3 linked regions of the Caenorhabditis elegans genome follow. The protein of the gene in region 2 interacts with the protein of the main gene of each other region in a pairwise test. Each region holds a gene or a part of one and is shown on either strand. Other genes may lie near its edges.

Evidence for each region.
Region 1: the proteins of prk-1 (region 2) and tag-325 interact in a two-hybrid assay, tested with the Caenorhabditis elegans proteins (one large-scale study listed by BioGRID).
Region 3: the proteins of prk-1 (region 2) and T11B7.1 interact in a two-hybrid assay, tested with the Caenorhabditis elegans proteins (one large-scale study listed by BioGRID).

What each region holds. Positions count from the first base shown.
Region 1 is NC_003281.10:4,793,097-4,806,364, forward strand, and holds tag-325 (WW domain-containing protein tag-325), read left to right. Parts: upstream 1-3,742; 5' UTR 3,743-3,814; coding exon 3,815-3,910; intron 3,911-3,962; coding exon 3,963-4,111; intron 4,112-4,472; coding exon 4,473-4,647; intron 4,648-4,719; coding exon 4,720-5,138; intron 5,139-5,534; coding exon 5,535-6,009; intron 6,010-6,473; coding exon 6,474-6,689; intron 6,690-7,458; coding exon 7,459-7,568; intron 7,569-7,652; coding exon 7,653-7,831; intron 7,832-8,026; coding exon 8,027-8,153; intron 8,154-8,632; coding exon 8,633-8,814; intron 8,815-8,867; coding exon 8,868-9,121; intron 9,122-9,339; coding exon 9,340-9,480; 3' UTR 9,481-9,811; downstream 9,812-13,268. Other genes in the region: mip-1 (HTH OST-type domain-containing protein), read left to right, coding at 10-128, 179-298, 354-558, 612-938, 989-1,325, 1,373-1,477, 1,528-1,778, 1,978-2,184; rRNA N(6)-adenosine-methyltransferase metl-5, read left to right, coding at 9,911-10,010, 10,690-10,885, 11,142-11,248, 11,299-11,426, 11,477-11,590; Homeobox protein pal-1, read right to left, coding at 12,115-12,157.
Region 2 is NC_003281.10:6,986,005-6,996,470, reverse strand, and holds the start of prk-1 (Serine/threonine-protein kinase 1), read right to left. Parts: upstream 6,304-10,466; 5' UTR 6,116-6,303; coding exon 6,048-6,115; intron 2,311-6,047; exon of another isoform or gene 2,168-2,310; intron 1,763-2,167; exon of another isoform or gene 1,551-1,762; intron 1-1,550.
Region 3 is NC_003282.8:8,835,307-8,845,322, reverse strand, and holds T11B7.1 (Centrosomal protein of 162 kDa), read right to left. Parts: upstream 4,607-10,016; 5' UTR 4,599-4,606; coding exon 4,532-4,598; intron 4,250-4,531; coding exon 4,042-4,249; intron 3,993-4,041; coding exon 3,570-3,992; intron 3,452-3,569; coding exon 3,131-3,451; intron 3,070-3,130; coding exon 2,751-3,069; 3' UTR 2,518-2,750; downstream 1-2,517. Other genes in the region: T11B7.2 (Ribosomal_L30_N domain-containing protein), read left to right, coding at 832-902, 1,489-1,702; T28C6.11 (uncharacterized protein), read left to right, coding at 5,062-5,185, 5,440-5,660; T28C6.7 (Kinesin motor domain-containing protein), read right to left, coding at 5,151-5,183, 5,398-5,728, 5,891-6,408, 6,494-6,856, 6,951-7,241, 7,347-7,793, 7,894-7,977, 8,023-8,454 and 3 more.

The sequences.
Region 1 (13,268 bases), 2.2 Mb from region 2:
ACTTGGCAAATGACGGAAGCTGACGATCCCAAGAAGAAAATACGCGCGCGCATCGAGCGCGACGTGTACAGTGTTCTGCTATCATTCCAGGAAGGAGCGACCCCAAATCAAGTAGAAAGGAGAATGGAGTTTGTGTTTCGCGGCATTATTTCTCAAATTTAATGTATTAACTATTTAGCGACACGCTTGGCTACACATATGTTGGAAAATATGTACAGGCTGGTGTGAGAGATATGGCTCAACTTCTGCGAGAGCACAAAGATGTACGACAAAATTTATCCGGAGTTTTCAGTGTTGTGTGAGAAATATATATTGCTCTTATTCGAGTCAAAACTCAATACATTCGTTTTCAGCGCAAATGAGGACAATCAAGACCTAATCAATCTGATCTCAAAGCAGAAGAAAAAAAAGAAAGGTGGAAAAGGTGCAAAGCCCATTCGTGCAGCTACGTCTATGGGATTCCATAATAAAAGTGGATTCGGATATGCAGCTCACTTGCGCTCACCGAAACCCTCATTTATGTATCCAGCTTCATCTGCCAGAGCGAACCCGGCAAAGGTTCAAATTGAAAAAAAAAAACTATGTTCAAGATTAACATAATAATATTGCAGCCACAAGCAACTGGGTATCGCAATACCGTTCGACACCCACCTGTCCGCCCTTCCACTGCAACTGGTCACTCTAGTTTCGCAAATAGATCAGCTTATTCACATCATACAACGAGAAGCACCACTGTTGGTCCGGTCAAAATTGCTCCTAGTGCGACTGCTCAGCGTCCTCTTTTACGTCAACCTGTAACCGTTGTTCAAAGACTGTCGTCTACAGTGGCTGTTCCAGTTTTGCAACCCGGGATTGACTCGAAGTGTATGCCTTCGATCGTTGATTTTTCGAACAACGTTAAGCGCATGATGCTTCTGGAATATCCTGCTGATGTCCATGTAAATTTTTTTCAACATTTGCAAATTGCAACTGATTTTTCATATTACAGCTCTCTGAATTGACCGAAATCTACGATAAGCATTTCGATGTATCAATTGATCCACTCCAGTTGTTTAGCAAGAGCTGGATGATGTTCGTGAAGACTTCATTCAAAGAATGGCTGCAACTCGGAACAGACGGTCGAGTTGAAGTGAAGGAACCCTGGTTCACAAATTTTGGAGCTGCGTTAAAGAAATCAATGCCACCTGCTCCTGAAAAGAAGAAACCAACGACACTGCATGAGCCCACTTCAAGTGTCGCATCATCGAGCTTACCGATTTCACAAGGATTTCGGTATCAAATACCAGTTGTTCGTCCGATAGTGTCTGTCGCAGAAAGTATGAAAGGTATTTACATTTGAAAATAATTAGTAGATTGTAATATTTTATTTTAGGACTCACAGTGAGTGCCCGTAGCGTAATGGGAACTCCAAAAGATCTTCCTGGTGTGTCTAACCCGATTAAAAACACAGCTCGGGGAAGTAATAAGCCTCGAAATGGTAAATCCAGAAGTTTCCATTAAAAAAAACTAATAATTTTTATTCATCAGATCTGGCATCTTCGAAAGCGAGTAAGGATCTTGTTGTTCCTGTGATGAAAACTACGTGTATCAAATCACTTGAAGATACTTCTACCAGTAGTTCGAATCCTTCAACATTGCAATTATCTACTGCCTCTACCTCTGCAACAGATCAGAAACTGCCAAAAATGAGCTTTGGAAGACAGATAGAAAAAGGATCGTCGATTCCAGGGAGACATATATCTCTTGCTCTCACGGAAATTAAAAACCAAAAAGTTATTGTGAGTAATTTTCTTGCTAGATTCCATTAATTATAATATACCAAGTGCGGTATCGTTCCGTTTTCGGATCAAGACTAGCTTTTTGTTGTTTTATTGCTAAAATACTGCAATTTTTATGTTCATTAAAACAAAAACAATATTTTTAACTATGCTAGAAAATACCATGCCGACTGTGATGAATAAGCTAAATGAATTTCAGGCGGCTTCTATTGTTGGAAAGAGTGCCAAAACTTCTACAAAAGTGCCATCCACGACTAGAAGTGTAGTTCTCCCACCAATGTCAAAAGGACCAGGATTGGCACGTTCTCGTAACTTTTCACCACAACAATCGACTACATCTTCAATTGATAATGAGTGTCTAGAAGCTATCAATGCTGCGTTGCCGTCGGATAAGGATAGTTGGTGATCGAAATTTTACGTGCTTTAAAATATCCTGTTTATGTGTTTTTGTAAAATTATTTTTTAATTAGTTTTAATAGTAACATTGTTTTTTTTATATTTTGGATGCGAGTCATTCACGAATTTTACTATAAATTTTTTTTCCGGTGCATTCTATTCTTGTTTCGCATAATTAAGAAAAATGTGTTCTGAAACATGAAAAAATATTTGTTAGCTTAAATAGCGTGACCCCTTTAGATGCAAAATTGTAGAGTAGCTGTGAGAGCTCTTCCGACGGGCCACTCAAATAATTGAAAGCGAAATGCAGTTTCTCTTTTTCTCTTCCCCAATGCATTCAGTTTCCTATTTCTCTGCCATGTCAAGATTGGCATCAAACGATGTTCGAATATGGGGGAAAACTGGGGCGGTCGGCTTGTGCACACAGACAGACCCATAAAACATGAATTTATTATTCTACGCGCACGCAAAACGTGGCACTATAGAGACTAAGAAACTGCAGGAAATTCGTTTTGAAGATGAGATAACATCAACGAACGGTGTAAAACATAGAGACAAAAAGTGCTCTGGATAACGACGCGCTATATAAGATTGACCCTTAAGGGTAAAAGAATTCTTATCCAAAAATGTTCTCCAATATTGATTTTTAAGAGAATATTATATTTCTATGCTGTCTAGTGAATAGTTTTTCAATTTGGCACATTATTTAGTAAAATATGTTGAAATAATGAAACTATTTATTAAAACAAATTTTTGAAGTCTAAAAAGAGCCTTTTCACTAGCTAAACCAGTAAATACCTCTAGTCACGGCACTATCAGGTTTGTACAATGACTGTATTTCTTTAAATCGATTGTCGTCTGTTCGTGTGTCTGTATCTCCAATATTTAGCCCCAAGACACTGTCTCTAACCTCCCGAATGAGTGAGAGAACACACGGCGAGTTTTTTCTGTATCACTGTCTGCGTATCTTACTCTTCCATTCTGTGTTCTCTTTTCTCCAGTCGGGACAAGGGAAATACGACGGCCGGATGAGTCATCCCGTGTGTGCCTCCTTGTGATGGTTTTTTTGGTGCTTTTCTGTTGGAATTGTACAAAATTTTAAATTAAAACTGATTTATAAATAATTTCAGCTAATTTTGAAATTGGACAGCTGAAATGAAACAAAAAATCGGAAATTTTGCTTATCAATTCCGTTGGTTGATTAAAATATGTTTCATTTTAAAAATATTTCGTAAGATATTCTTATGGGTATAAAGTTACGAAATGTTCAGAAAGTCACGGAAATTCGAGAGAATCGATTCAAGTGGAAAGAAATGTATCAAGTTTCTTAGATATTTAGAATACTTAATTGTTGTCTTCTTCTCTTTTCGAACATTATTTAATTATCTTAACAACCTAATTATAATTTTTGTTTTCCCATTTCCGGATCAATCTGCTTTATTAAATATTTCGGTTTTGTTCTATAAACACTGTAAAAACAAAGTCAATGGTCACATGATCTTTCTCTTCTTTTCCTCTCCTTACCATGCTCTCCCTCTCCGAATATTTTAGCAATTCGTCCTTTTTGCAGTTCGTTATCATTCTCTTCAATGCCTCTCCGGTGGTGTTAAAAGTGATTTATTATCGATTTTGTTCGTCGGATGATGACCACCGCTGTTCAGCCGTCAGATACAACTGGATTCGGCGGAGGACCCGCTGGATCAAGAGCTTCGGATCTTATTCAGTTCCAAGAAATTGTTAGTTTTTCTCTCTCATCGAACGCGAGAAAAATAATTTTATTCATTACAGATGTCCGAATCGGCCGAATCCTCTTCGTCATCTAGTCAAACGAATGTTAGCGCCGCGAACACATTGCCACGTGAAAGTAATGGACAGAATTACGCTGACGATCCATCACATGTGTATACAAATATCAGAGAAATCGAAGAATTAAACAGGTACGGGAAATATCTGAAATGATTCAGGTTTAGTTATAATGTTTTGAAAAATTGGAATTAGTGTGCAAATCGTGGGTGAAGCATTTGAAAAAGAGGTCAAAAATGGTTTGAAACTTGCCAATCTCTGAAAAATTAAGTTCGATAATTGGTAAATGACAATTTCAGACTATGTTTAAGCACTTTTTCAAATTCTTTCGTCAAATTGAATTCTTATTTTCAATTATATCTATTATTTTTCCATATTTTCTCACTAATATTTATGAAAAAATGTTGGAACAACACCTGGAGCATTTTTTTAATCACTGATGATTATTTAATTTTCATTTTTGATTCTAAAATCATCATAAAACATTTTTAAAAGCTTCAGCCGACCGGTTCCACCGACTCCGCGAGCCGACGCGCAGCCCCGTAGAGATCTTCTAAATGGTTGGTTTGAATACGAGACCGACGTCGGACGGACATTTTTCTTCAATAAAGAAACTGGAAAAAGTCAATGGATTCCACCGAGGTTTATCAGAACACCCGCACAAGTTCAGGTATTATTTTTTACTTTTAAAAAATTAAAATCTGGTAAGATGTTATAATTTCATTCAGTTTTCAATTTTCAGGAATTTCTTCGTGCAACAAGAACGAATCTAGATACTACATGCAGTTTTCAAGGATCCTCGACATCTTCATCAGAAGAACAAAAAGAGAACAAAATGCGTGAATCTTTAGCTGATGACGACAGAAAAAGTCAATTGATAGAAGATGAAGAAGTGTTTGATGAAGTTTGCGATGACGTGGATGAACAATCATCACCTGTAATTGATCTTCAATCACGGCCTCTTCCAATTCCATTCTCTGACAGTTTTACGGATGATGAAGATGAAGATGATGTGAAACCTATAGAAGGATCCATAGCTTCAGATTCCGATTTTGACGAAGAACCTGTTCCAACATCATCAAGAAAAGCTTCTACAGCATCCGGAGTAATGATGCCACATCCCTATGCACATGTTTCTTCGTTTCAATCAACGTTTCCAAGGTTGGTTTTACAAAATTTGTAATAGTGGAGCAAAACGAAAAAAAAATCATTAAGTTTGAAACATGGCTAACTTTAGTGAATTTTCAGTTGTGCCTCATTTGAATTACCGCGCCTCGAAACTCCGCTAATTTTTCCGTTTTTCACTTCGATTTTCTCGACTGGTTCAGACAAAAATAATATTTTAGGCGAAACGTAACTGCCATTATAGGCATAAAACCTTCCTTTTCACTTGAAAATTCAAGGAAAATGAAGAACTTGCGGCAGTATTGAGAACTACAGATGCAAAAAAAGTTATCGGCATTTGAGATCAACCTGAGTATTTTTGAGTGAAATTCCCATCGACGCTACCCCTAAATTCAATAATGTTATATCCTATCACTAAAGTTACATTTTTAGGGCCAAAAATGAAGACACTGACAAATTGGCTTCGTATGTGATTCCCCCAGATGCCAATGAAACATCAAAAACTCCCACCGCAATCCGTGTCCGTCGTCCATCTCCGACGAACCTAAGATCGGTCTCATTTCAGAACAAATGTACAGTTCTAAAAAATGTTCCAATGCCACAAGTGCTGCCGACAACCTCATCAAGTTTCGATCACCATCCGCAATATCACTCTAATACGCCGGATCGGCCGATCCTTATGGAAGATTCTGCCGATTTTACACCATCATCACGATGTGAAGAACGTCGAGGTAGTGGTGATGGACGTGAACCTGTTCGAACGATTCGATGCGGTGATTTGGAAAGAAGTGAAAATGATGAACCAGCAGAGAAAGTTGTAAAGCCAAAAAAACGTGAATGGATCACGAACTACATGTATTTAACAACGGCTCATCTCATTTTGTATAAAGACCAAAAAAGTGCAGAGGTAGTTTTTTTTATGTTGTTGATAATTAACGCAGAAAAAAAGATTTAAGAAATTTTAACAAAATGTGCAGAGATGATGTATTATTGTCTGCTTTTTGGAAGTTTTTCTGAAAATGATCTGAAAATGTTTCATCCACCTCGGTCAAAAAATTGCACTCTTCTTCAGAAACTAAAAATTTCAAAAAGCTTCCGAAATGTTTGCTTATCTCTAAACAGCTTAAAAATGATCCGAAGTTTGCAAAAATCCACTTTTGGAACAACTCGACTGATCATAAAAGTAGTTGAAAAGTTTGTTGATAAAGTTCAGATGGTTCGAGTGGAGTTTTTGCAGCTTAAATATTTATATACATATATATCAGCTCAGCCTAAACATAATGTTTCAAATTGAAGTGCCATATTTTGTATATATTTATTTCCTTTCCTTGTCAGTAGATCAACCAATACCAAATAGTTGTCAACTTTCAGAAACACGGAAAACATTATGATGCTCCACAAGGAGTATGGGATTTACGAGGAGCAAGTGTGACATGGTATCAAGACAATCGGGATGTACAAAAGAAGAAACAACGGAAATATATTCAATTAGAGCTGTGTAACACGAAGAAATACCTGTTACGAGGTCCCAATGACACGGAAGCCGTCGAATGGTACAAGTCACTGGAAGAAGTTGTCGCAAAGCTTGTAAGATTTCTTTATTTGAAAATTATCCAGAAAATAGACAAAAAAAATCAAGTGTTTTTGTTTCATTTTTCTTTTTCTCCCGCCCTTGGCAGGTACAATTAAGAGATTATTCGGCTATAAGCTACTTTGCCAAGTTGTTTCCAACTTTCTCAAGACTGTAGAAATAAGAATTCACGGCCGAAGTTTTTCTCCGTCTATTATTGCAAAGTTTTTACTTGTTGTGTATTCTCAAAAAAGTACCATGTGGCATACTGCTTGCTCCAGAGTCCGAATGTTGAGCCTGCAACGGTCAAATAGTGAGGTGATTCATGGGAGAAAATTCTGAAAATCCTATTAAGCTGGATTTTCGCTTGAAAAATATCTAACCCGGTCTCAACACGACCGAAAATGCTGAAATGAAACAGTGTGTGCGCCTTTGATAATTACAGTAGTCCCGCTATTTTACCATTTTCCTGCCTTTTCGTCTAAAACCTTTTTTTCCTTTTTTTTTTGTGACACTAATCAAAAAATATTGAAATTATAAAAAATCTATCTAGGAAAATTAAATAAATCTTGCTGTTTTTCAATTTTCTTCGACTTATCTTTTTTTTTTTAATTGTGCATACAATTTCACACAATAAAAGGTTTTTTGAGAAAAACGAGAAAAATGGACTATTGTACTTCTTAAAGGCGCACAACTTTTTTCATTTAAACCTATTCGATCGCGTCGAGACCGTATACTGTTTTTTGCATCCGATTATAGATTTCAAGACTATGTATATCGTTTCAGCCGTCTCCTGGCTCTTCAAACCAACCGATGATTGATGTAACAAATGGCGTTGCTCGTAATCCGTCATACATTGGCAGCACGCGTCCACTTTCCCATGCATTAATTCCAATGTGAGTTTTTTTTTCAAAAAAAAAAAAATTGAATTCAAAATTCTGAGAGAACCATGTCTTATTGAAAATGTTTTGTTTTTTAAGAAGCCGAAGTATGCGACGACGTGATGATCCAATGTCACAATCTGCAATTGAAACGGTATCGACAAGTGTATCAACTGATGAACCAAGACCATCAAAAGAGACGATCATTGAGAAGTTGAGAAGATTCTTCCGAACACGCCCTACAGTGGAAAGTCTTAAAGAGAAGGGAATATATAAACGTAAGATTGGAAATATATGCAAACCAGCCGTGGACCGCACCTACGGCGCGGCCCCCGACTTTTTTTTTTGAGAAAATACAATTATCATAAGGTTTCCCAAATTTCCGTTGCTCTGTCAAAAATCAAACTACATAGTGACGGAACGACACGCGCTTTATATATAGTAAATTGATATTGAAATAAGAATCATTTCAGCTGAACCAGTATTCGGATCAACTCTTTCTGCAATCTGTCAACATGAAAACTCGTTGGTACCGAAGTTTATTAGAGTTATCACTGAAGTTATTGAGAGTAAAGGATTGGAGACAGATGGAATTTATCGGTTAGTTTATGAAATTGGAAAAAAATTACATGAAGTGTCGCCATTTTGTGAAAAAATGACCAAATGCCATAACAAAACACATCTAAAAATTTATTTACTATCAAAAGGGGTAGACCTAATAATTTTTTCCGAAAAACATTACCCAGATGCGAACTGTTTGCGTTGAAAAAACTTTTCCCGGTCTCGACACGATTTTTTAAAATTTAAATGATTGTGTGCCTTTAAAAAGTACTGTAATTTCCAACTCACAGTTGCTGCGGTTTTTCGATTAAAATTTATTTATTTGTATTCAAAAAAATTATGAAAAATCAACATCAAAATTACTGTATTTTTTAAAGGCACACTTTAAAAATTATAGTTTTGGAATATCTTTAAAAAATTTGAACTGTTACGAGAGTATTCTCTAACTGTATTTTCAGTTTTTTAAAGGATGACTACCAAATAAAAATAGCATTGAAACTTGAAATTTCTTATTTCAGAGTGAGTGGAAACCTGTCCGCAGTCCAAAAAATTCGATGTCAAGCTGATCAAGACAATTATAAAGCTCTTGTGTCTGAAGAAGATATTCATGTTCTTACTGGTGCTCTTAAACTCTTTTTCCGAGAGCTAACCGATCCACTTTTCCCAATTTCTCTTCATAAGGAATACACATCAGCTATGCGTAAGTTTTTTTTTTGAAGTTTTAAAATGTCCTAAACCAATTTTCTATTCCAGAAATGCCCAACGCGACCACTCGTTTCAAAAAATTCGAAGAACTTCTAAGTCGACTTCCAAACGAGAATCGTGAAACATTGAAAATGTTACTTCGTCATTTGAATCGTGTAGCCTCGCATTCATCACAAAATCGAATGCAACAACATAATCTTGCTATTGTTTTTGGTCCAACACTATTCCATAATGGTGATGGAGCCGTGAATTTGGCAACCAAAAATAAGAAAGCTGGAAAGAAGGCGAAACCTTCGAAAAAGGTTTGTAAAACTTCATTTATTGAGAATGGAGTGAAAAATCTTTAAAAAATTGATATAACATATCATTAAACAAATTTTGAAATTTTTTACAGTTATAATTGGTCATTACCGTTCATTTTCTATATTCACCAAATTATTTGTAATTTAAGTTATTGAAAATTGAGTCAAAACTCAAAAACCAACTGATATTCCTTGTTTAAAATACTTATAATTTCCAGGAAGAAACTCAAGCAACTCCTGTCCAATCGAATTCTCATCTCGCCTTCTCAATGATTATGCAATCCCAAATTGTTCAATATCTTCTCGAATCGGCCAACAAATTTGATATTCTCAAAGCTCCAGTCAATATTGGACGATAATCTATAGATTTTTCAAATTTTCCAAAAGAGTTGTGACCTTATTTCTCACCGTTTCACTTTGGGTGTTTTATCGCCGAAAAATGGGTATTACTTTTATCGTTTTCTCTTATTTTCTTTCTACTTTTTTTTCCTTGACTTTCGGGATTTGATCAATTAATGTTGTAAATATGTACTGTAATATTCATTTTCCTCAACACATTTTCAGTATGCTAGTCTTTTTTTTTCATCCGTTTACTTATTACAGTCTTCTCCTTTTACGCTTTATTCTTTTTTTATGTTGTATTTTCAATCTTCCTACGCTCAAACAAGATGAATAAATTGTGATAATTGTAAACGAGCGCGGACGATAAAAACTCAAAGTTTAGCTCTTTTTGGCATATTTTTTTGGAATTGAAGAAAAGGAAAATACGAAACACTAAAATTTTGAAAGATGCCGGATAAAAAGACACTTTGGATGCTCAATGAGCTCGAAGGATTCGAAAAACCAAAAATCAAATTGGAGCAGTATGCCACGTCATCAGAGCTTGCCGGTAATTTTTTCCTAAAAACTGCATATTAATTGTGGAATAATTTCCTCAAATGTGCTCTGAGAAAATTGAAAAAATACCGAAATTTACCAAAAATTGAAATTTTCCAAAAAAGAATTTAAAAGAAAAAACTTGAAAGCCTAAATCAGAGAAAACAGTCTCAATAATAAAACTTTTAAAGTTTAAAAATTGTTTTAAACAATTTTTGGTTTATTTTTTTCAGAGAATAATACCATTTTTCGAAAAAATGCAATCTGTTTTCAAAAATCCTTCATAATATGACTTCTTCAATCGAAAAAAACTTTCAAATCTTTTTTTGCAAAATCACAAATTGAAAAATTAAGTAATTTTTCACAGTTATATTCGGTTTGTTACTATTATCCATTTTCTGTAATTTAAAATAAAAAATCAAACATTCTTCTTTAAATATAGAAAATCTTGTTCAAGCCGAACATAATTATTGTTTAAAGAAAAGAAAATCAAAAAATTTGTTCCGCCTATATCATGGCGCTTTCTTATGTTTTCAGCTTTCAAATTTAGAAAAAATATTATAAAAAAACTATCGAAGCCGCGCTTCAAAATTTTATTTTTTGGAGCTTCTTACAGTATACACTGTAAAAAACATTTTTGAAATAAGCTTTTACCAACTAAAATCAAAATAAGAAAATCAAAATAATTACAGTCTCGATGATGGAAATGATCGATGAAACAATTGGTTTTGAAGGAAAGAAATTAATTGATATCGGATGTGGATGTGGAATGTTAATGACGACAGCTGCCACAATGTATGAGTTGGAGACTGTTTTAGGAGTTGATATAGATGATGAAGCACTTAAAATTTGTTCTAGAAATTTGGAAACAGCTGAAGTACAGGATAGGTGAGAACTAAAAAAAAAGTAAAATATATGTTTACATTCTAAATTCAACTAACATTTTTCAATTTGAAATTTAACCTACAAAAATACCCGGTCTCGAAGCGGCTCAAAATGTGGAGTTAGAAACTACAGTACTCTTTAAAAGCGCACATCTTTCTGAATTTAAGAAAATCGGGCGCTTCGAGACCGGGTACCGTATTTTCGGCTAAAAATCGTATTTGGGTAATAATAAAAAATTAAAAACTTTCAATTCTTCCAGATGCGAGCTTCTACAAGCCGACATTCTCGACCCGGAATCCGATCTTCCACGTGGCACATTCGACGTGGCTGTCATTAATCCTCCATTTGGAACAAAAAATAATGCAGGTAAATATCCAACGATCTCCTAAAACGTTACAATATCTTAAATTTCTCAGGAATCGATATGCAATTTGTCCAAATCGGTCTTCAAATGGTTCGGCCTGGTGGAAGTGTATTTTCACTTCATAAATCATCAACTAGAGATTATATTCTAAAAAATGCAAAGAAATGGGACGGAGTTGGGGTTTGTTTTTAAATTATTCTAAAATTAGAAAAAAAAATATTGAGTTTCAGGCAGAATGTTGTGCAGAAATGCGGTGGCAACTACCAGCGACTTACAAATTCCATAAACAAAAGGCCGTGGATATTGCCGTCGATTTAATACATTTCAAAAAACTGGATAGTTAATCTCATCAATTTCTGCTGTAAATTCTTCAAAATTGTTTCATTGTTTTGTTATAAAAAATATGCAATCAAGATATGTGAGAAAAGCAAAGAATTCTCTAAACTTTTCCAAAAAATAGAAAACATGTTCAAAATGGATCCGTTCAGAGTGGGAAGTAAATACATAACAAATGGGGACCTAAACTTTTTCCTAAACCTTGAGAAGGGTAAGAAACAAGAAATCACAATAAATAAAGAAGCTCTATATTAGGGAATAATTCATTAGAGAATGATTGGATTAGTTTACAAAGCAGAAGGAATGATCGGAAAGTTATAAATATATATATATATATGTTAAGGGCAGTGATGATTAGAATATTCTGATGTGAGAGAATGGGAGATGGGACAGGAAGAAATTATATAAAAGTGTGAATTTAACCGTATTCAAGCGAGAGAAATGTAAAAATATAATAAATGTGTACAATATTCTAGAAAAATATGAAAATTCCCAGAATTTTTGTACATTTTCTTTGTAAGTAGATGAGTACTTATAGCCGAATCTTCTGTTTGTCACGACGATCCTTTGCACGCCTGCAATTAAAAATATTACAGTATTATTACGGAAATTAACAATTTATCAGAATATATTGAGATCAAAAAGATGCCGTCCCAGTGGTGAATTCAAAAAAAATACGCTTTTCAAAGAAAAGGGATAGGGAACATCAATCTTTTGGTTTATATTCCCTTTCTTTTAATGAATACAATGACCGGTATGGTTCGTCCGTATGTTACCTCTTCCCAGGAAAACGGCGGTCACGTCTGTCCAACACAGTATGTATGTCTGTTTGGATTGGGACGCTACAGGAAAGGGACACACACATTGATTTCCATTTTACAGCACTCTGGGAATCTCTGCCGACGACGTTTCTATTCCCCTCGTAAATCTTTCGATGCGCACTAATATTGTCAAACAAGGCAACAGACAACAAAAAAAACGACTGTTGAGCAGATAATTGGTATATCTCTGCGAGCTGGTCAGAAACCCTTGCTTTATCATTTCTGTAGACTCTTTCATTGAGCTAGAACCTCACCTAATTAAATAAAGGCAAAAACTTGAAATTTGGGGCATTTTGAGTATATTTTTTTGCAAACCTACAAACGATACTCTCCCTTTAACATGCGAGTGAAGGAGATTAACAGTAGCACTTTACGGGAAGTGTTTTATCCCAATAACTTGGAAATTCGCACTAGATATCCTATTCCCTTGTTAATTTCCAAATCCCCGAACGCGTAGATAGCCACACATGCAAGCAGTGACCACCTCTCTTCTACAGTAATACCAATTAGAAAGTCGTAAACGGACCAATTAACAAACTTCATCTCTTCCTCACCTCCACCAGCACGTCTCAAACACTGTGGCCTCCAATTACACAACTTTACGACTCTTTAATTCCTTGGAACTATCTCTACTGCGCGCGTGGACTGAACTGAATCTTAAAGAACGAAAGTGTGGTGGTACTTTTTCCTATGGTTACAGTAGGAGGTGACAGTCATTGTGATGAGTCCCCTGGAAAAGCCTGAGAAAGAGTAAGCAAACAGCAAACAGCAAACAACGTATTTGGCTCGAAAGGGCGCGGAATGAATGAATTCAAATGAGATTTGCAGAGGGCAACATCATCTGTTAATTAAATGACGTTGTGAA
Region 2 (10,466 bases):
TTATATTTCAGAGTTGTTATTTTAAGATTGCGATAAAAAACATTTTTGAAGAGGAAATGGTACTTTTTGTCACATGTTGAGATTGTAATCTAATTAAAAATGGCCATAAACATTCAATGAAACAGGTTTTGAATAGTATTTTCTAGAATATTGGATGAAATAAATAATTTCACGAAGTACTGTAACTTTGAAGATCCTAGTGATGAATACTACTTTGCAAGATGAATTACCAGGAGTTTTAATAATAGATTTGAAATTCACACTTTCAAGTAAACTGGACCACGTTATACTCTCCTTTCTTCAAACTTTAAAATTTTGAAATATTACGAAAATCCGGGAGAGTGCAAAGAATTAGACGGGAAATACATTTATTACGTGGTCGCACAGCTGCTACTCGGTTACCTCCCGCGGGCGCTAAGCACCTTTCTCTTTGTTGTGAAATTCGAACCCTCAACTCGAGCGAATTTCATGAGCCCTTCAGGTGAAAAGATCTTTTAAAAGAGTAAAAGAAACGGATAGCCGGTGTGGATGCGCGGGACTAATTTGTTAAATAACAACTGAACTGCTATTAGTCGGACCGCTAGCGTAGATCAAAAAGTCAAGAGTGTGGAATCGGAGTTTTTATTTTATTTTTCCACGTGGTGTCAGGCTGTCTCATTACAGTTTGATCTACAAAAAATGCGGAAAAATATTTCCAGAAAAATTGTAGGGTCAACACGCTCTTAACCATCCAAAATCAGGTGAGATGTCTGCGTCTCAACTCCCGCATTTTTTGAAGATCGACCCGAAATAAAACATTCTGGCTCCACGTGGTTTTTGCAGCAGAAGTTTAATGAACAGTATCTAACGTACATGAATAAATATTTCTCCGATTATGTTAATCTGAACGTTAAATAATAATAATCAACAAGAAAGCTCACGGAATCAGCAAAAATGAAGGAAAATTGGTACTTGTGTGTTAAATATATCCCTGCCAAAAAAGTATTAAATAAAATAGTATTAAAAGTTTATTCATTTCTCCATTTAAACTGAACGAGATACCCATTTTCCTCGTTAGGCTCAGAAATGGTGTGTGCACGTTCAGGTTCAACTGAGAATTTTAAATTTTAAAAAATCGGAAATTATTTCAAATAAGTTGTTGAAGAGATATTTAAGAAGAATGCCAATGGCTGGACTGACTTTCCTTGGTGTTCAACTTAAAAACAAGGTTCAAACCTGCTCAGCTCAAATTTCTAGGATTCAGAATTTAGTGGAGTTTTTCTTCCTGATTTTCAGAAAATCTGACAATTTGTTGACAGGTGTCTTATACATTACAAATTCTTCTAGGATCCAAAGATCTTTGGATCTAGACAATTTTCAGAAGTCACGCTCTTATTTATAAAGATTAGGAAAACAAAAAGCCCATGAAAAGCAGAAAAGTAAAAGGTTGAAAGTTGAAATTGTGGTTGATGGGAGCAAAGGTGAAAAATAGAAGAAAATTGAGAGAACAGGAGAAGAGACCGATGTGATGGTGGTGGAGCACCAGAACCACAACAACAAGAAAAAACGACAAAAAGTGAAGAAGAATGAAGGGGATGTAGAGAGAAAAAGGGAATATAACGACATCTGGAGACTCGGAACGAAAACCAGATTCGTTTTTTCCTCACATTTCGCCGTTTGAGCTGGTTTCCGTGGTACATTAGATGAGTGATTGGGTTTGTGATTTTAAATTCATTGACTCGAGAAGACCCGAACTCAATTGGTTTAAGCTGTGCGCGGGGGTAGATCAAAAAGGGATCAAAATCGGTGACTTCTCGAATATATGTACGTTCTAGATTCTTTGAATTTCCAAGAACATGTTAAAAACTTAAATTTCGATTGACACAAATTTGTGAACCGCGGTGAGCACTTTGAAATTTGAAGCGAGGGTCTCTCCGCAGAGTGACTCTTTTCAGCATTATTTTGTATGTGAACCTTTAAGTTTTCATATGAAAATATTTTTTAAAAAAGCATTATAGAACGAAACAAGAATTTTCCACAAATGTTCTTTTAAACCTGATACCATAATTGGGAATTTTTATGCAAACCTCTAGGGATAATAAAAATACAGTACGGTCATATAAAGTCACATAAATTGCTTTCAAATTAGTTATGTTGCACGTTGGAACATTTTTTATGAAAAAGTAAGTTTTTTGATTGCAGAAGATACACATCAAAATAAAAGGGAATATTGTCTCTTTTCTGATGGAATCTTCTCGACGTGGTACTAATTCAATTTTGTTTCAAATAGGAATCACAGGGACCTATGACATCAAGCTCTGCTCCTTTTTTCTTTTTTTTTTCTATTTGGGCTCTCCTGGATTCCATCATAAAGGAATGCTTTTCACAACTTCCTTATTGTTTTTTTGCTTTGCCTTTTTCTTTTTTGCGTTTGAACACAATTTCACTTTTTATCCTGCACGTTGAGATGTCGGTGAGAAAGAAAAAAGTTTCGGAGCACATGAAGAAAAGAATATTTATGCGAAAAGGTGCGATTGAGATTTTTTTGTTGAGAAAATGTCGTTTCAGGGTTATGGAATGGGGTTCAGTGAGGGGAAGAAGGAAGATCACACCTACAACAATCAGGTTTTCAGCAGAATATTATGAGGAGATATTTGAACAAAAATATTTGCTCTGAACAGTTGAGCAACTTCAGAGAGAATGGATAAAGTTCAATGTGTCAAACTATTAACATCAACAAGTTTTTATATTCTTATCAATGTACTATAGTTTCTGATCCCTGATATACCATTCGATTCTTCTCGATTTTAACTGTAGATCATGATCGTCAAGAGTGCTCACTTATTTGCTCAACGTATCCCGTGTGCCACGTCACTGATCTGATCTCTCTCTCTCTCATACACGGGCGGCTCAAACACGTGGTCTACTTAATCTTGTCCTCTCGGCAGCCAGGTAAATCGCGCAAACAGTGAACGATTCCCAGGATACAAAAAATGACTTGTAATTCATGAGTTGATGTTTCGATGTATTTCCATCTATGATCAGACATCTCTTGTCAATCGGAAAACGATAATATCATTTGTCAACGAAAACCACACAAACGGGAGACCTTTAATCTTTTGGAATGGAACAAGAATAGATTTATTGTGATAAATTAAGAGAAACTTGGAATGAAAAAGGAAACTAGAGAAACGAGAAGGTGTGCGATTTACGAAGATATTTTGGACGCACTGAACTGATCTAAAAACGCATGCAATCGGGTTGTTAATGATTCGTCATTTTAAAATAGGTAATTTTGCAGTTTAGATAGGACAAAGTTCAAAGTTGATATAACTTTTTGAATGTTCGGTACCTGAAGCTTATAAGGAATTCGTAAAGTTCACATTCTAGGTCGTTCTGTTCAGACAGTTTACGGAATAGCTATTGATTTTACTTAATTTGTTTAATATTTTAGTTTTTCTTAACAGTCATTAGTTTCAATTTTTAAATGCTGGCATTACCAAACTTCCTTCTGATTTCTCGTTTTTCTGTCTACAGAAGTTCCTTGTTGTTCTATTTCTAGTGGCTAATAAACACTTGACCAGTGTTACAGAATTATTCGATTAGTTGTTCCATCGATGTTCGATCCTTTATCCCACATACCGATTGTCATCGTTTAAAAAAACGAAACGAACATTCCCTGCGTCTCTCGATCTCTTATCACTAGTTCTTGATTTCTTATTGACCAACAAAGATCACGGAGTGTACAATTTGCGTCATTCGAATATTTGAACACTTTTTCAAAGAAAATAAATTACTAATCACTAAGTGGATTTCGAAATAAATCGGTTCTGACTTGATTTATGAAACTGTTTTCTTAGTAATTGTCTATGTGTACTTTGAACAGCGGGAGTACTTTCTCAAGTGGATTGTAGTATGTTAGCTCAGGGAGAACACGTAAGCGGTTTTCAGGTCAGAATCAATCAGTTTATCAGATATAAATTGGAAATAGATTATGATTTGAAAACGAGGAAATATTGAACTAGATAGAAAACAATACCAATACAAGGTCAGCCGAAAGTCCGTGTGCAAATTTGTGAATTTTAGGAGTTGAGCCAAAGTTTTTGATAAAAAATAAAAAACAGCGACACGAGATAAAAAGTACTATGTAGTAAATTGAATTCTGAATCAAAAATTTAGAATTAAAAAGTTTAAATGAATACTAGAAATAGGCTTGGTTCATTGCTCAAAAGTGCCCTGTTCCTAGCAACAAAAAATCGCAATTTGGAAAAATAGGAAAAAAACGATGAACTGCAATTTTTAAATATCCGGTAAGACTAGTTATAGTTACATTTCAATTTTTTTAAAGTCTGAAATGTTTTGAATATTCATAAAAAATTATTGGGACTTCAACTTCTTTGTTTTCAAATCTTAATTATGTTTTAAGAAAGTTTTAAAAACCTAATTTCCCGCCAAGAAAATAGGCAAGGCAGGCACTTTGTCATGCTTACAGAAACGTAACCCGTAGTTCGAAGACTTTAGAATATTCTAGATACGTCATAATGTTTTATCTCCTTCCTTTTCTCCAAAAATTCTTCATTTATTCTTCTCTTTTTTTCTTCAAATTCTATGGTCGTCATGTCTAATGGGTAAACATGTGCAGTTTATAGCCACTTTTCATTTCCCCTTTTTTCTATTTTTAAACCATTTTATATATTTTTTTCTGTCCCCAGCAAAACTTTACTTTGTTTATTAACTTGAAGAGTTTTAAATTTGGGTTTTTGTTTTCACTGTTGGCGACAACTGATGAGGGAAAGACTTTTTTGGTTTCCTTATCACATATTATCAGTCAGTTCTGACTGATTTGTAGCAGGGTTACTTGCTTACGCACTCACATGTGATGCTGCAATTTCAGCACTGATTGTTCGAGAGAACGAGTCAGCAAATTGGAAGAAATGAAGACAGAAATAGAAAAAAAAGAGTCTAGGAAGATGTTTAATTGTGTGGAAATATTGGCTTGATTTGGTGAAATTTGAGTTTGTAAAGCATTGAGACATGTTCAAAAAGAACATTTAGAATTGTAGATTTCATTAGTTTTCAAAACAGAAAACATGCATTTTTGTTGAAAAATTTAAAAGGACTCATGGTAAATAAACATAATTTCTCGAAGTTCAGACAAGAGCACCGATTTTTTTGTGTATTTCGATCTTTTGTACTCGCCGAACCAATCTATTTTCACCTTTTTTCTCTCGATATTTGACCTTAAGACAATACTATGGAAACATTGCAAACTTATCAAGCGATCTCTCCCAACTCCCCATATGACACGTCAAAACCGAAATTCGATACTTTTTCGCCTCCTTGACGCCTGTGCTGTTCCTAATGTTTGTGTGTTTGTGAGTGCTTTGAAAAGATAGAAAGAAAAAGAGCCTGTCAAATCATCTTGCAAAGAAGGTTTTTGACAGATTAGTCCTAGTAAGAGCACATGAGAAATGAAAATGAGCCTAATTTTTTAAGTTGAAATAAGAGTATGGGATGAGAGGAGTGATCTTATTCGGGAATTATACTGAAATTAGTAGTTGCAAAAGTTTACAGATGAGAAGCAGTAAAAGTTAAAGAATTAAAGATTAAATGAATATTAAAAGTTCAGATGGAATTGGATATTGGAAACATCTTGGAAGAAACTTTGAAAATAAATATGAAAAAAGATGTTAAGGCTCAATTAAAAAAACGAAATTTTAGACATTTAATAGTACAACGGTACTAGATAACTTTAAATTGTTTTTTTTAACCTGTATTCTCAATTTAAACTAAATTAATTTAAATTAATTTGAAAATTATGTTTGAATATACATCATTCCAAGGTTTTTTTAATTTGTAGATTATTATCTACTTTCCAAAAGCAGCACTATAGATCGTTGTACGCGTAAATAGGGCTTTTAGAACAGAAATATATTTTTCCAAAAATATAAAAAATGCTAGAAAGTCAATAAATTAATAGGAAATTTTAGTTTTAAGATCACAAAAATCTTACCTACTTCAACTCAACACAAACAAAAAATACAAATGAAAAATGAGAAAAGACCAACCTGACGGACTCGTAAAGCCACAATCTTTGCCTTCTAACAGCTCCAGCGTCTCCTGGTGCTCGTGTCATATTGGAATAGTTTTAATTAAAATTAAGCAACAGTAGCCAGGATTTAATGAAATAAGAAAATGGAAAACACTTTTGTGTACCTCTGATGGCAATTGTTTTCTAGCACAATTCAGGAATTGTGGTGGTATTCCAGAAATAAAAAGTTTCAGAGATTTAAGAGTTTTTAGTGTGTTCCTTATTGAAAAATGGCATTGCTGACGGTGGGCGCGGCGGCGGCAAAAGTAGGCGGTGCCCCAGGAGAGTGTGTGGATCTGCGTCTCTTATTCTCATATGCTCTTTCATAAGTCTATGACCACACAGTTCGAAACATGGACGGCGGGAGAGAAAAAAGAAAACCGAAAAGTGTCTCTGAAATAAAAAAAGACAAAGATTGTATCTGGGATAAGCACTGGTTAGATACGATTCAACCATGAGAGAGGGGGAAACTGTTTTTTTTTTCGTATAATTGCCTAGTGCAATTTGTGATTTGGTGTATAATACAGATTTCTTCACCCAGTTAGTAAGAGTTAGCATAACTTTACAAAAAGTCTCAAACTATGGTCCTATAGGAGATTGTATGAACATTGCAGAACTTAGACAGTATAGCATTTTTATTGGTGAAAATAGCGGCAAGAACTCTTAGTGTTGTGTTCTATAATCTTTCTAGGCAAAATCGAATAAATATAAGTGCCTTGAAACACGAATTTCAGACATTCATGAATTTAATATTGCTTCCAAATGTCATATTAGCCGGTAACTGATTTTATTGCTCTAAAAAATTGAACGATTAAAATATGACATTTTTATGAAATATTTTGATTAGACGATTACTCAAAAAACAAACATCAAATGTGTTGTTGGTTGGAATTTAGAATCTTATTGATTTTCCATAATAATCAATTAGTGTAGTCTATGTCTTGAGTGTTTTTTGCTTTCAAATTTTGATATTTCTTGTCCTCAATGTTTAATTCATCAACTGATAAAACATATATAATTTTCCACTCCATTCTCAATTTTATCAACAACATCACCAAATGAAGCTTCAAATATAGGTACACAATGTATTTGCGTAAGCAGAGTAAAATAATGGAAAATATGGAAATTTCATGGAAATTTTTGGAAGAAAAAGAGGAGGAGGAAGAAACAAAAAACATTTGAGTGAGGGTGACAGATTTGCATCGATTATTTTTTTATTGAAATATTTATGTATCAAGTTGTGATAAGTGATGACTGGTCTCTGTGCGTGTGTTGGAAAATGTAAACTTCTGGAAATTGTAGTAGCATCTCATAGGATTACTTTCACCGAAAATCCCAAAAACCTTGATACTGAAATAGAAGTTATTTGATCAATTGACTCGGGTTTTCCAACTCTAGATCAAAACACCTTATACATACCAAGATCATTAGTTTTTCAAAGAAAGAACTTTGAATAAAAAGTCCAAACTATTCTGACAGTAGGAAAACTGTCACAGACAGTATTCCAAACGTGGCCTTTACTATTTTTCTACAAATGAACAGAAAAGTGAAAACTTCGTAAGTTCTGGAGAATCCAAATAATAAGAAAAATGAAAAAAAAACCCAAGTTGCATAATTTTGAAAATTTAGTTGAAAACTTTTAAAATTTTTTTGAAACATCCAAATATTGATAATGTTCACAATATGGCCCAGAAACTTTTGAATTATATTCAAAATTCCATTTTATTTGTTTAGTTCTGTACTGTTTTCAAAACAAATACATAATCCCATGGATCATCCAATGAATTTTTTTCAGTTTTTGAACACAATGTGTTTTTTGTGTTACCTGCTGCTCAATGCCCAGGGTAACCTTTCAAAATCAAAAGGATCTCTGACACAGTAGAATGATCGCACTTTTGTTTTTTGAAAGTTACTTGACCCAAACAAATTGAATCTATTTCCTCCTCCTTTCCTCTTAACCCATCAAAAAATTGTGATTTTTGCAAGAACAAAGGTCGAATCATCTCTTCTTGATTACCCATTGGGTTTAACGACGAAACACACACTGGGACAGTTGTCTCTGGGCTTTTCACGAGTTAAAATAGTGTTAAATTGAAAGAGGTTAGTGAGGGATATTTCGACAAAAAACAATTTGTCACAGCTCGTTTTGTTTTCAGTCTGACTTTTGTTTTAACATTGAAAGAGAGGGAGAGAGTGAGCTCAGAAAAACACGTACTTTGAGTTTGAAAGAGAGAGACTCGTTTGTGATTGATGGAGGAACTTTGTGATTAGAAAAACCAGAGAGAAGAATGTTGAAAAGTGTTTTGGTGGGTCAGTAGTGGTTCGCAAAAGTTTGTGACGCTACAAGAGTCAGGTGGTAGGGATGCCGAAATTTGGTTTCTCCACAAGATTATTAATTTTTCGAAGTGTTCAAATTTTAATACTTATTATTTTTATCATCACAATATATCTAGCAGCTGATTGTTGACCGACAGGAATTTTAATAATGGAACTTGGGGGGGGGGGGGGGGTTTCCTCCAAATTATCACTCTGGATCCATGGATACTAGATTATTGGGATTATAATAGACAGTACTTAATATTATTATTCCATGAAAACTATTAAAGCATTTCAGTGGTAATTCACCATACCGAAATCGAATACAAAACTTCGAATTTTTCCGGATACAAATCTCTAGCAGTCAGCTTTAAAAGTCATAAAAATTTCGGTGTTTATAGATGGCTTAATTCTTTTAGGACCCAACTCTTTGAAATTAGACGACGAATTCTGAGTAGGCACATCACCAGATATTTTCAAAAGTTCTTTCACAAGAAAATCGGACAAACGCATCAAATCTAGAAAAAAACTAAGTTACAGCGTTTTCCTTGAAAACTGCCACTAAAACCAAAACGATTGTTAAAAGAAATATGGAGAAAAGGCGTGAGAATGGTGTCTCTTCTTGCAACTTCTACATATCTTCAATGCTTTCATCCGTCCTTTTTCTCCAGGGACCAATCGAATTTGGACGGCCACGGCCGATTTATGTATCGAGCTGCGTGTTTTTGTTGTTTGCAGAGAAAAACTGCAAATTCTCGGTATGTTTCCGCTACTTTTTTGTTCCAGTTTGCAGCTCATTTTCATGGAGCTTCAGTTTTTGTGTTTTTTCTGAATAACGTTCAAATTGTCAATCCTAAAATTTGCTGATATAAGACGAAAAATTTTAAAAAATTGCGAATCATACAAAGGTCTTTCAAGTTGATAGCTACATTCCTGAAACAAGCGGGACGCTCTCAATTCATAATTTGGTTTGCATACATTTCGGTGCAAAATTTGAATCAAAACAATGAATTTCAGTGCACATTTGAATAATACCGAGACATCATCATGAATTGTTCATAGAACAATACATAGGAAGAACAAAGATTACCAAGACTGGACATTGTTGAGAAAGTTGTTTTTTACGATTCAATGGCTAGACAACAGAATCATTTAAAATTTCCTCATTAAATTAATATCTGTCAGCAAAAGGAGCAAGGCAAGGCTCGATGGTATAACTTCCTAAACTCGCTAAATTGCATATCTTCAAACTGGCGTATCTTAAAAAATACAGGTCTAGAAAACAAATGTTTAACTAACAAAATGATTAGAAATATGTTTGATTTCTTTTGCATAACTTTTCATTGCAAAATAACAATTATTTGTTAAGATACAAAGAGTCAAAGGCATTTTACCAAAAGCTACTAAAAATTTTGAAAACTTTTCTGTTGTACATGTCTGAACCCAACATACATTGAATTTCAGAAAAAACATTTTGTAGAATATTAACTGAAAAATATTGTTCTACATTTTTTCAGTTTTAAGTTTTTTTATATTTTTATGTCAGCCAAGTTACATACTGTTTTTCAAAAAAATCCATTTTCACTCATAAAACTCTTCATATCCTACGCAAAAATTTGAAATTTGCGCGAAACATCATCATTTTGAGTACTCTATAAGGTACCATCAAACAATTTTCAAAAATAATGTTCATCTCCAAAATCGTCCTCCGCTCCGAAAAATGAAATCGGATGTTTGCCTTTTGGAAAATGACAAAAAATGAAATTGTGACGTTGGGTTCGAAAAATATATTTTCAGAAAGCTGAGAACACGTTATTTACGAATTTCATGTTCATTTTTGATTATTTCTTTTTTGAAAAGACCTAAAATTTAATCATGAACCTAAATTCATTCTCACGTGAAATTTATTTTTGCTTAAAAACAATTGAAAAACTGATCAAATCTTTTGTTGATAAAGCGAAAAAATGTCACGGGAGAATGAGGTTCATGATTTAATTTCAGAACTTTTCAAAAAAGAAATAATCAAAAATGAACATGAAATTCGTAAATAACGTGTTCTCAGCTTTCTGAAAAAATATTT
Region 3 (10,016 bases), on a different chromosome or scaffold from region 2:
TACTTATGACGTCATTAGGTACAGTAACCACTACTTTTCCCTTCTTTTCTCTCTCCAATGACCCTTAAGCAACGCTTCCTCCGTTATTACACATGCGCAACTGCTCTTCAATAAAATTCATTCTACTCATCATCGCACCGCTCCAAATGTTTGAACACCAACTCTGGGGGATCATGGGATTTTACAAGTTCTGAATGATTGATGTTTCAATTATAATATTACATTTAGAAAACCATGTGGTAATCATGTGTATTCAAATTTAAGTTACAGATTATTTCTGTCTCAAACTGTAATTAGACTTTTAAAAATGAATCCCCCATGGCCCAATTACACATTTCATACTGAGCTTTCTTATAACGCTTTGATATTTTATGATTCACTACTATCATCATGAGACCAGATTTTCCGATATTTCAAAATAATTGTTGTACTTGCTATTCGTAATTTCATCTTCTTGTGACGTATGAATCTATCAATATTTAAACGTTTTGCTGTCTTGTTTTTTTTTATATTTCGATTATGAAATCATTCTTACCAGGAGTGTCAAAATCTCATGTTTTAGTTATTTCGAAACGATACGCTGATTTTCATTTTCATCATCTTAATTTTTGATTTTCTGAACACACATAAAATATTTTATCCCAACTCAAGAAACTTATGTGCATTGCACCACGGCTCTATGATTTCAGCTAATTTTTCCTCTTTCTTTTTCTTTTTCATCTCTTTCTCTTCGCATGCTCGTCTTATATCTTGTCTGCAAATCTTGCCAGCTTATACTTTTAATACTTTCATGTTCACTTCAAATCTACTTTTTTTTGGAATCTACTAGGCATGTCTCCAGGATCATCGACTGGAATGGTTTCGGAAAAATGCGGAGACGCTGAATCAAAGCGTGCACCATAGTAAGTTATTCTCAGAACTAATTTTTTTCCAGCTAGTGATAGTGGCTACCTTTTAGGTTTAATAAATATACCAAATATTTATTTGCTCTTTCAGCTTTGCTATTTATTCTGATAAAATTTTACCGTGTTTATTTTCAAATTGATTACAAATGAGAGCAAATCTTCAGTATTTTTTGTGAACCAGCACCCTCTTGTCTACCTTCTGGCCATTTTCTGCATTTTGTGTGAGACGTAGTACACGTACCGATATTCATATAATTACAATAACAAGCATAACCCTCTTAAGAGTTTGGATAATTTTACAAACAATTTTAATAAGCATGATCCAAGAAGAAATTTCAAATGACAAAGTTTTGTTTATTGTCATGTTATTTTTTTTAACTATCGCAAAATTTAACACGATTCCAGAAAGTATAATCGGCAGTTTTTGGAGTTGATGTGGGTCTGCTTGCGCTAGAATTACCAGGTAGTGCGCGATGCCTAAAAATCAGTATTTAATCCCCAAATCCTTCAAAATGACAAAAATCTCTCGCAAATATTAGGATTTTGGATTTTATCAGATTAAAAAGATTATTTAACTTTTCAGCCCACCACCCCTTCGTCTTGCACGAAGAGTGTGCTACCCACAGTACACTCAAAAATCGCTTGACATGCGTGCACAGGAAAAGTTGGTGGGAAGGAAGAGGGATATGAAAATGGCAAGATTTCTCGCAAAGCAGGCTAAAGAAAGCAAAGAAATGGTCAAAAAGGCGGCCAAGGAAACAACCGAGAAAACCACCAAAAATGATTCAACTGTTTAATAAAAAGCTATAAAAAACCATACTTGTTGATTGCTGTTCCCATAATATTACATCTTAACTTTTACAACAGAGCAACTTTTTTATAATATAAAATACAGTTATTTTATCTTTTATTTTTTAAATCAATGTTTTTATCTACATATGTACTTCAAATATAATAATTATTTTACATAAACCATTGTTTTACACTACAAATCCATATTAGCATCCTTCCTATTTTAAAATATTTTTAATGTAAATGTCACAAAGTCAATAGACCGGAGAGATCCTATGTGACTCACAATCAAGCTATCCGATGTTACAAAAATCAAATTGCTTTCAAAGATCTAATGAACAGAAATGTAAACTTTGGCTTGTCAAAAGTCAAAAATTTAGGGCATGTTCATCATCTTCCAGCGCCTTCGGTCAACCTAACAACATTTATGATTGTCTAAAAAATCGATAGCATGGAAAAATGACACCCTCGAGGAACATAAATAAGATAATTGTATCATTAGACGCAGAATAATCTCAAAATGATCCAGACTTTACGAACAGAATAAGAAATCTGATATACCCATCGTCTCAACAATCTTCTATCCATTCCAAGCCATGACAAATTTGAAGCGGCAACAGTGAAAAGTGGCCCACCGCTGGCTAATACGTACGGTTTTATAGCGGGCAAACTGAAGGCCGTCTTAGGTCCATTACCGGCTGTTGGACCGTCATTTGTCCACAGGTTGAGAAAGACTTTCAACCTGTTCGGGCTCGTCCGCAGCTGTTATAATTGTGACATTTTTTATACATAAGTTTGTCTTTGGTTCTTGGAAGGACTTATTGGAAGATTTTATTTCAGAAACAAGAACAGTTGGAACAGTGTAAAGTTAATCAGAATAATCAAGAAAATTTGAAAACAAAGAGAAAGTCGGATAAATGGGAAATCATGATATATCGTAGAGCGAATAACAAGAAAATCGTTGATTTGTGAATAGTTAAAATTTTTTAAAATATTAGTCATTGTAAGAAGGTACATTTAATTTCAATGAAATCTCAATTTTCTGATTCGATGCTATTCCTCTGACGAGCTGTCACCATCTGGTAAATCATCAGAAGCGCTGCTTTCAGAACTTTCATCTGATGAGCCTTCTTCCTCTTGAACTTCTTTTAAAGCTTCTAATTCTTTGAACGCATTCTTCAAATTTCCTCGAGAATTTCTGAGACGTTTTCCAAAATTTCTGACAGTCTTCGCCAAATCCTCAGAAATTTCGTTTTTCGGAATGAAATTCTTTTTCAATTCCATCATCTGCTCGTATTGATGTTCAAGCTTTAATTCTAGAGCATCCTTATCTTCAAGAGCATTTTCGTATGACCAACCAAGATTAGCGATTCTGTAATAATTTTTATGTGTTTTTAAGATCAACAAAATATAAATGTTTCGTCAAAACTTACCTTTTTTTCTGATCGTTAATTTGTCTTTGGAACCACTGAATCTCTTGATCTTTCTTATCGTGCACTTCAAGACTTTCCAAAATCAAACGACACTCCTCTTTATGCAACTGCAGCATCTTACATTCTGGTTCAAGTTTTTGATCGTCTGAAAACTTTTGAAGAATTTCAATAAGTCCCTGCAATGTTGGAGTTGGTGAACGATTCTCTGTTTTGTTTCCAGCTGTGAGCTCTCCAATTTTCGCTGTTTGATTATCAAGATAGTTTTTCAATGTATCGTTTTTTCTGAGCAGTTTCTTGTTTTCTTGAGCAGCCCTGAGCAGTCTGGAAAAAGTAATTACGAAACATAAAATGTTTGTTCTTACACTGCCAAACAGATTACTATATCTCGATGGCAGTGCATGTTATGTTTTCGGTCGACTATACAGATAAACATAGTTACCTTGATTCATAGAGCTCTTGTGTCTTCTTTATATCCATTTTAAGAATTTCAATTTCCTTAGCTTTTTTCGAATTCATTTCAAAATTTCCAACAGCTGACTGTAGTCCTTCACAAGTTAACTGAATATTTTTCAGTTTCTGATCAATACTTAGTTCTTCTTTGAATTGTTTCAACTGTTCGGTGAGCTCATCCAATGTTAGAGGATTCACATTTTTTGAATTCTCGTGATTTTGAATACTTTTCAAGTTTTGAAGTTTTTTGAATTTTTCAATTTGAACTTCAAAATCATTTTGCAAGTCAGCATAGTTGTCTTGCAAATTGGAACATTCATTCTCGAGTGTATAGATTTTTACAGAAAGTGCCTGTCTCATATCATCATACTTAAGCTTCTGACGGCTGAGTGTTGAATCTAACTTCTGGATTCTGAAACAAGTTTAATCTTACAAAAATTACGAAAAAACAGTATACTTACGTTTCCAAATGTTCATCCTGTTTTTCATTGAACTTTTTTTCCAAATCCTTGTAGTTTTTATCTTTTAATTGAATACTTTCAAGCTGTTCTTTAATCATTTGCAAATGAGGAATGGAAAAATTAATAGTTTTACTTTGTTTCTCAACTTGGACATAGCTTATGGTATCATGAAGAATATCAATTATTCCTTGAACTGTAGGCTTAGACGCTGAAATTTAATATACATTCACGAGGAAAAGTATTCAGAGGACTGCGTGACTATCGATGTTTCAGATTTTCAGACGGGATACATAAAACGCAAGTAGAAAAACCCGCATGACGTCACACTTTTTCTTTCATTCTCCGTAATTTTCCAGGAACAAATTGCGAATGGAACCTATCATACACGCGTGCGCGAGGCGATGTGACAGCTTCGATTAATTATACAAAAAAAAACGTCAGAAATAATATCATTCCTGTTATGAAACACTGTGATTTCAAAAATGTTTACCTTCCAATTGTCTTGTTTGCGGTGCTTGACTTTCTCCTTTTGAAACACTTGGTTTGATTCCTGACATTACTCTCTGAAAATCCAAAATCCTTGCACTAAAACAGATTTAAAAAAAAGAAGTTAAATGAAACCGTATTCATATCTTATAATATCATAACTACAATCATTTCCATACAATTCGTGCATTATAAACAAGAAAACAAATGAAAACCCTTCAAAAAACTCGATTAGCTACCGATATCAAGGCACTTTGGATGTAAAAAATAATAAATTAATCAGTCATCTCTTGACGATGACGTATGGGCAAGTCATCTGGATGAAAACTATAAAACAGAACGCTCATGTATATTATCGACTCGAAAAGAAGGTTTCCAAAAATTATCGATTCAATTTAGGTTTAGCAGATCTACGAATATACATTAAAAAATACTTGAGGAAAAGTTACTTAATTAGGGATCCTACAGAACTGACAGACCTAGAATAAAAGTAAAAAAGATTAAAAACGAGAAGAGGGAGGGAGAAAACACCGAATGCAAATGAATGGTATGTTGGAGATTTGTAGTGTTGGAAGAAACAGTGAACCACACTCTCCACGGGCAACGTACAGGGGTCATCTCATCTATTTGTTACGACGTCGAAGAGGCTCGCCACTCTGTAAGTAATATTGATTACTTGGTTTTGTGTATCGCATCCGATATCGGCCGAATGTACAATGAGATTTTTTTTCGAAATACCACTATTTTAGATGTCGCCATAAAAAATGTTTGAAGGTAACATAGATAACATTTTCAGAAGAATTTAAGTTTGAAAACGTGATCAATTAGGTTTTGGGCATCTGGAAATCATATGAAAAGCTAAATTTATACCTGTCGTACGACGACATCAAACGCTGATCCAGTTGATTGTAGTGGTACTGCCACGGATTCTGGCACAAACGAAGACGCGGTTGAGATTCGTGACGACGTTGACATTCTGGATGATGGGCGGGATGAGAGAGCTGGTACATTCGATGACATTGGCACTCGTGGAGAAGTTCGACGAGCCGCCGCTGAGAAGGTTTTTAGTTTCAAGTGAAGTTCTTCAATTGTCTTGGTCTGCTCGGCAATTTGATGACGATACTCCGCGATAAGACCTTCACGATCAGAAATCGTCAGATTTTGAACTCGCATATCCTGTTGAGCATTTGCAAGTTGTTGTCTGAAATAATATTAATATAAATCTATATTTAATTTTCTGATTGTGTGTTACTTTATTTTTTCGATTTTCACATGTCCGGAACATGCTATCAAATACTTTAGTTTAAAATAAAATTTCGTTCTATACACCAATTCATTTAAACGTTAAAAAGATTTAACTCACCTCAGCTTGACTAGCTCGACGTTTGATGTCTTCTGCTGTTGATCTTCTTCAGCAGGATTCTGAAGTTGTGCTTCCAGTTCTGCAATTTTTGCTGTCAGAACTTCGCATTTCTCACGATACTTGTCCATTTGAACGGCGAACTCGTCAGCGTGATCCAATAATCGAGCTTCCGAATCCTTAAGCAATCCATTCTGCTCCGAAACAATGCGAAGTTCTTCTTTTAACTGTTCCAACTCTTCCAGAGACTTCAGATCAGCCGATTCGGATGCCTCGATAAGCTGTTGCCGTAGATTAGAGACAAGATTTTGAAGTTTCACAATAGTATCATTCCTATTTGAAATCTCGATTTCCAATGCCTTCTTTACTTCTTCAATTTCATTTTCATTTTTGTTCCACGCATCATCATCATTCCATCCTGAAGCCGAATTTTCAGCCTCGACTAGCTTCTGTTTGGTATCTTCCAGTTCTGATTGAACGTCATACAACTTTGATTGGAGAGCAGAAATTGTTTCGGTTAACTGAAAACACAACAAGTTACAGTAATATAGATATTATGATTCATGAAATTTTTCTACAGTACCCGTTCACACGTTTTTCGCTCACCTCAATCTCATTATCTTTCAGTCTCTGTAGCTCATCTTGCAACGCTTCCACTTTCATTTCTAAAACTTTCTGCGTATCTTTCATGCGATCAATTTCTCCATCATCATCGTTCCAACCATCGTCGTTCCATTCAGATGATGCAGTTGTTGAAGCTTCAGAAGCCTTCTGAAGCTCGATTTCCTTAAGCTTCAACTCTTTTTTCAGGTCATCAAGCTCTTCTCGAGTTTCATAAAGTTTCTGCTCAATTTGAACTTTCATAGATTCTACTTGGCTCAATTTTTCCGACATTTGGGCTTGTTCATTCGATTTTTGAGATTCAAGCTGTTCAATTCGAGCTGTGAGTTCATTACGAAGTTGGGTCAACTGAAAATTAGAAATTACGTAATTTCTAATTTTTGTATACAAGTTAAATTAAAACATTATCTAATGTCATTTGCCATTTCTGAAATTTAATTACCTTTTCACTTTCTGTCTCTTTCTGATCATCCTCTCTCCAATCCTCATCGTTCCATCCATCATTATCTGTCTTTTCTTGTTCCTTCTCAGCAATGTCAACTTCCAACTTTTGAATTATTTTCTCTAACTCGAGTTTCTCAGCTTGCACTGTAACCAAGTCAGTCATCAATTTGTCTCGGTCTTGTTGAATCTGGCCCATTTGAGATTTCAAATTCTCGACTACATGAATCAATTCCTTGTTAGAGTTTTGAGCTTGTTGTGACTGCTCGTAGACTTGTTCGAGTTCATCGTACTGAAAGTATTTTAATATCATTGGAAATTCGAGAAATTTTAAAGATTTATTCTAAAATTGACTGTTTTGTATGCTGTGAGTTTAATTAAAACATTTGATCCTAACCTTTTCCTGAGTTTCAATGAGTTCTGCTTCCGCTTTCTCAATAACTTCTTTTTGGAACTTAAGACGATCTTGAAGTTCTGCAACTGTACTTTGTAGTGTTGAAACTACAACATTCGACTCTGTAGCAGCTTCGGCATCATCTTCACCCCAGTCTCCCCAGTTTTCCTCTGACTTTTGTTCAACTTTAGCATCGACTTCTTTCTTTTTATTCTTCTCATCTAAAAGTTCTTCTTCCATTTCTTGGAGACGTTCTTCAAGTTCCAAATTTTGATCTTCGAGCGACAAAATCCGATTGTTCAATACTTTTTCGATTTCAACAAGTCGTCCAATTTCTGATTTCGCTTCTTGTAACTCTTTATCAAGTTCAGTCTTTTCTGAGAGTTCCTTCGGCTCTTCCTGAGTTTCATCCCATCCCCAATCGTCATCTCGTTTTTGAATTGTTGTAGTCTAAAAGACATTTTTTCAACATACTATCATGGAATTTGGTAAAAACTGATTGGAAATTGTATCTCTTTAGTATCTTTAAATTTTTTTAAAAACAACTCACCGGTTCCTTTTCTTCTCCCCATCCCCAATCGTCTTCTTCAACTTGGTCTGAAGATTCCGGTTGTCTAACATGGGATGTAACGCTCTAAAAAAAAACATAATTGTCATAATCCTTCGTTTCTTTCGTTACTTTATTAACATCTTCTTGCTCCCTAACACGACTTTCCAACTGTACATTTTGAATTTGAAGCATTTCCATTCTCAATGTCAACGCTTTCTCAACATCCAAAAGTCGTTCAACTTCATTTCGAGCTTCAACCAACTCTTTTGCATTTTCATCACCTTTTTCATCCCAAGAGTCCTCCCAATTTGAGGTTCCAGCAACTATTTCCGATTTTTTGGTACTATCTTGCTTCAGGGAAAGCATTTCATCTTCCATCTCTTGGTATTTCTCTTCCAATTCCAAGTTCTGGTCTTCCAGTGCCAAAATTCGATTGTTTAGAATTTTTTCGATAGCTGATAACCGTTGAACTTCTTTTTCAGAATCATGAACTTTGCTGATGTTTTCTGTGTTAGCCGATGACGTAGCTGATTGAAGAAGTTGAGCTTGTCGAAAATGAGTCTAAAAAATAATTATTCCGAAGTTGTTCAAAATATTTCTCATACCTCATGCTGTTCCATGAGCTCAGCGACCTGGTCTTCAAGTTCCTTCACGTGCTGCTCGAGTTGTTCCTTTTCCTGGAATTTAGCATGATATAAAAGTCATAAATCGATAAACTATAAAAAAAGGGTCTAACCTCTTCAATCTTTGCTTTCCACTCATCCTGCTCATCCACCTCGTTTTGCAGTCGTACATTGGTGTGTGCCAATTCAGCATTTGTTCGGAACAACGAGTCGACGTCCGCTTGCCTTGTTGTCAGTTTGGCGGCTAAAATGGCGAGTTCCGTCGATAGGCGACACACAGCGGCCGCTGCAAAGCCAGCCACCTATTGCCACAGGACACAGGAAGATGATAAAATAAAGGGGGAAAATTACTAAAAATGAGACAATGATGGGAAGACGAGTGAGAAACAAACTACGAGATCGAGGCTTATTTATAATATTAGCGTAATATCTCAAAAATGAATTGATAAGTTAAAAAATTCTAGAAAATTTAACTACGAAAATTTGACTTCAATATCTAAAGCATTACTAGTTAGAAATACAAACTCAAGATTTGTGAACACCGATAACTTGACCAAACTTGTTGGAAGTAAAGGGAAATGAAGGATTACCGTTTATTTTCTCCACTCCCACTCTACTTTCCAATTCAGATTCCAATTCAAAATTAAAATATGGAAAAACTGGATATTCGAATAAATTTCACGCAGTGAAGAAGGAAAGGAAGGAGGATATATCCTATCATCCGTTTAAAATTAGACCCGAATATCAGTTATCGGTACTCACTAAACCCTTAAAATGCAAATCATAAATCACTCAAACTTCAGAACTGCACAACGGTTGACAGACAGAAAATGAGCAAACTATCAGTAGCAAATGACAATTATTAGTGGAAAGTCACAATGAAAATAACCAAGGAGGAAAAGATAAGACGATTTCTAGTTCTATTACAGTAAGAAAAAAAGAAATAAGGAGAGAAAAGGAGCAGTAGGAGAATTTTCCATATTAACCCGAAATTTTTTTATTTTTCAGTCTAGAAAATCGTATGTTCTCCTGTGCCCTGTGGTGGTCTGTGAGAAGGCTTTAAAGCGGATGTTGGTGTCAATATGACAATGACAATATTTCTAGAATGTGTGAAAAAGTAAACTTCCAAAAAAGTGAGAACTACAAAATAAAACAACTCATTACTATCCGAAAACTTTGAAGGTTTGATTGTTTCCACGCATTCTAGAAATCTTTGAAGAGACAAAAGAGAAGTTCAGAAGAGCTTATGGAAAGGTACAGAGGGAGAAGTGGGTGTGTTGTGTGACAATAGGAGTAAAAGCTTGTTGTGCAACAAACAAACCGTGCAGCTATGTTATTTTTGGAAGTAGATGGCAAAGAATAGTGGCTTTTTTTTCAAAAAAAAAAGAAGAAGAATCAGAATCTTGTTCGATATGAGGCAAAACGCAAGTTCATTGCCATCTTCCTCATCAAATCCCTATTAAAAATGTCTTACCTTCAGTCTCATCAGCTCTCTCAGCA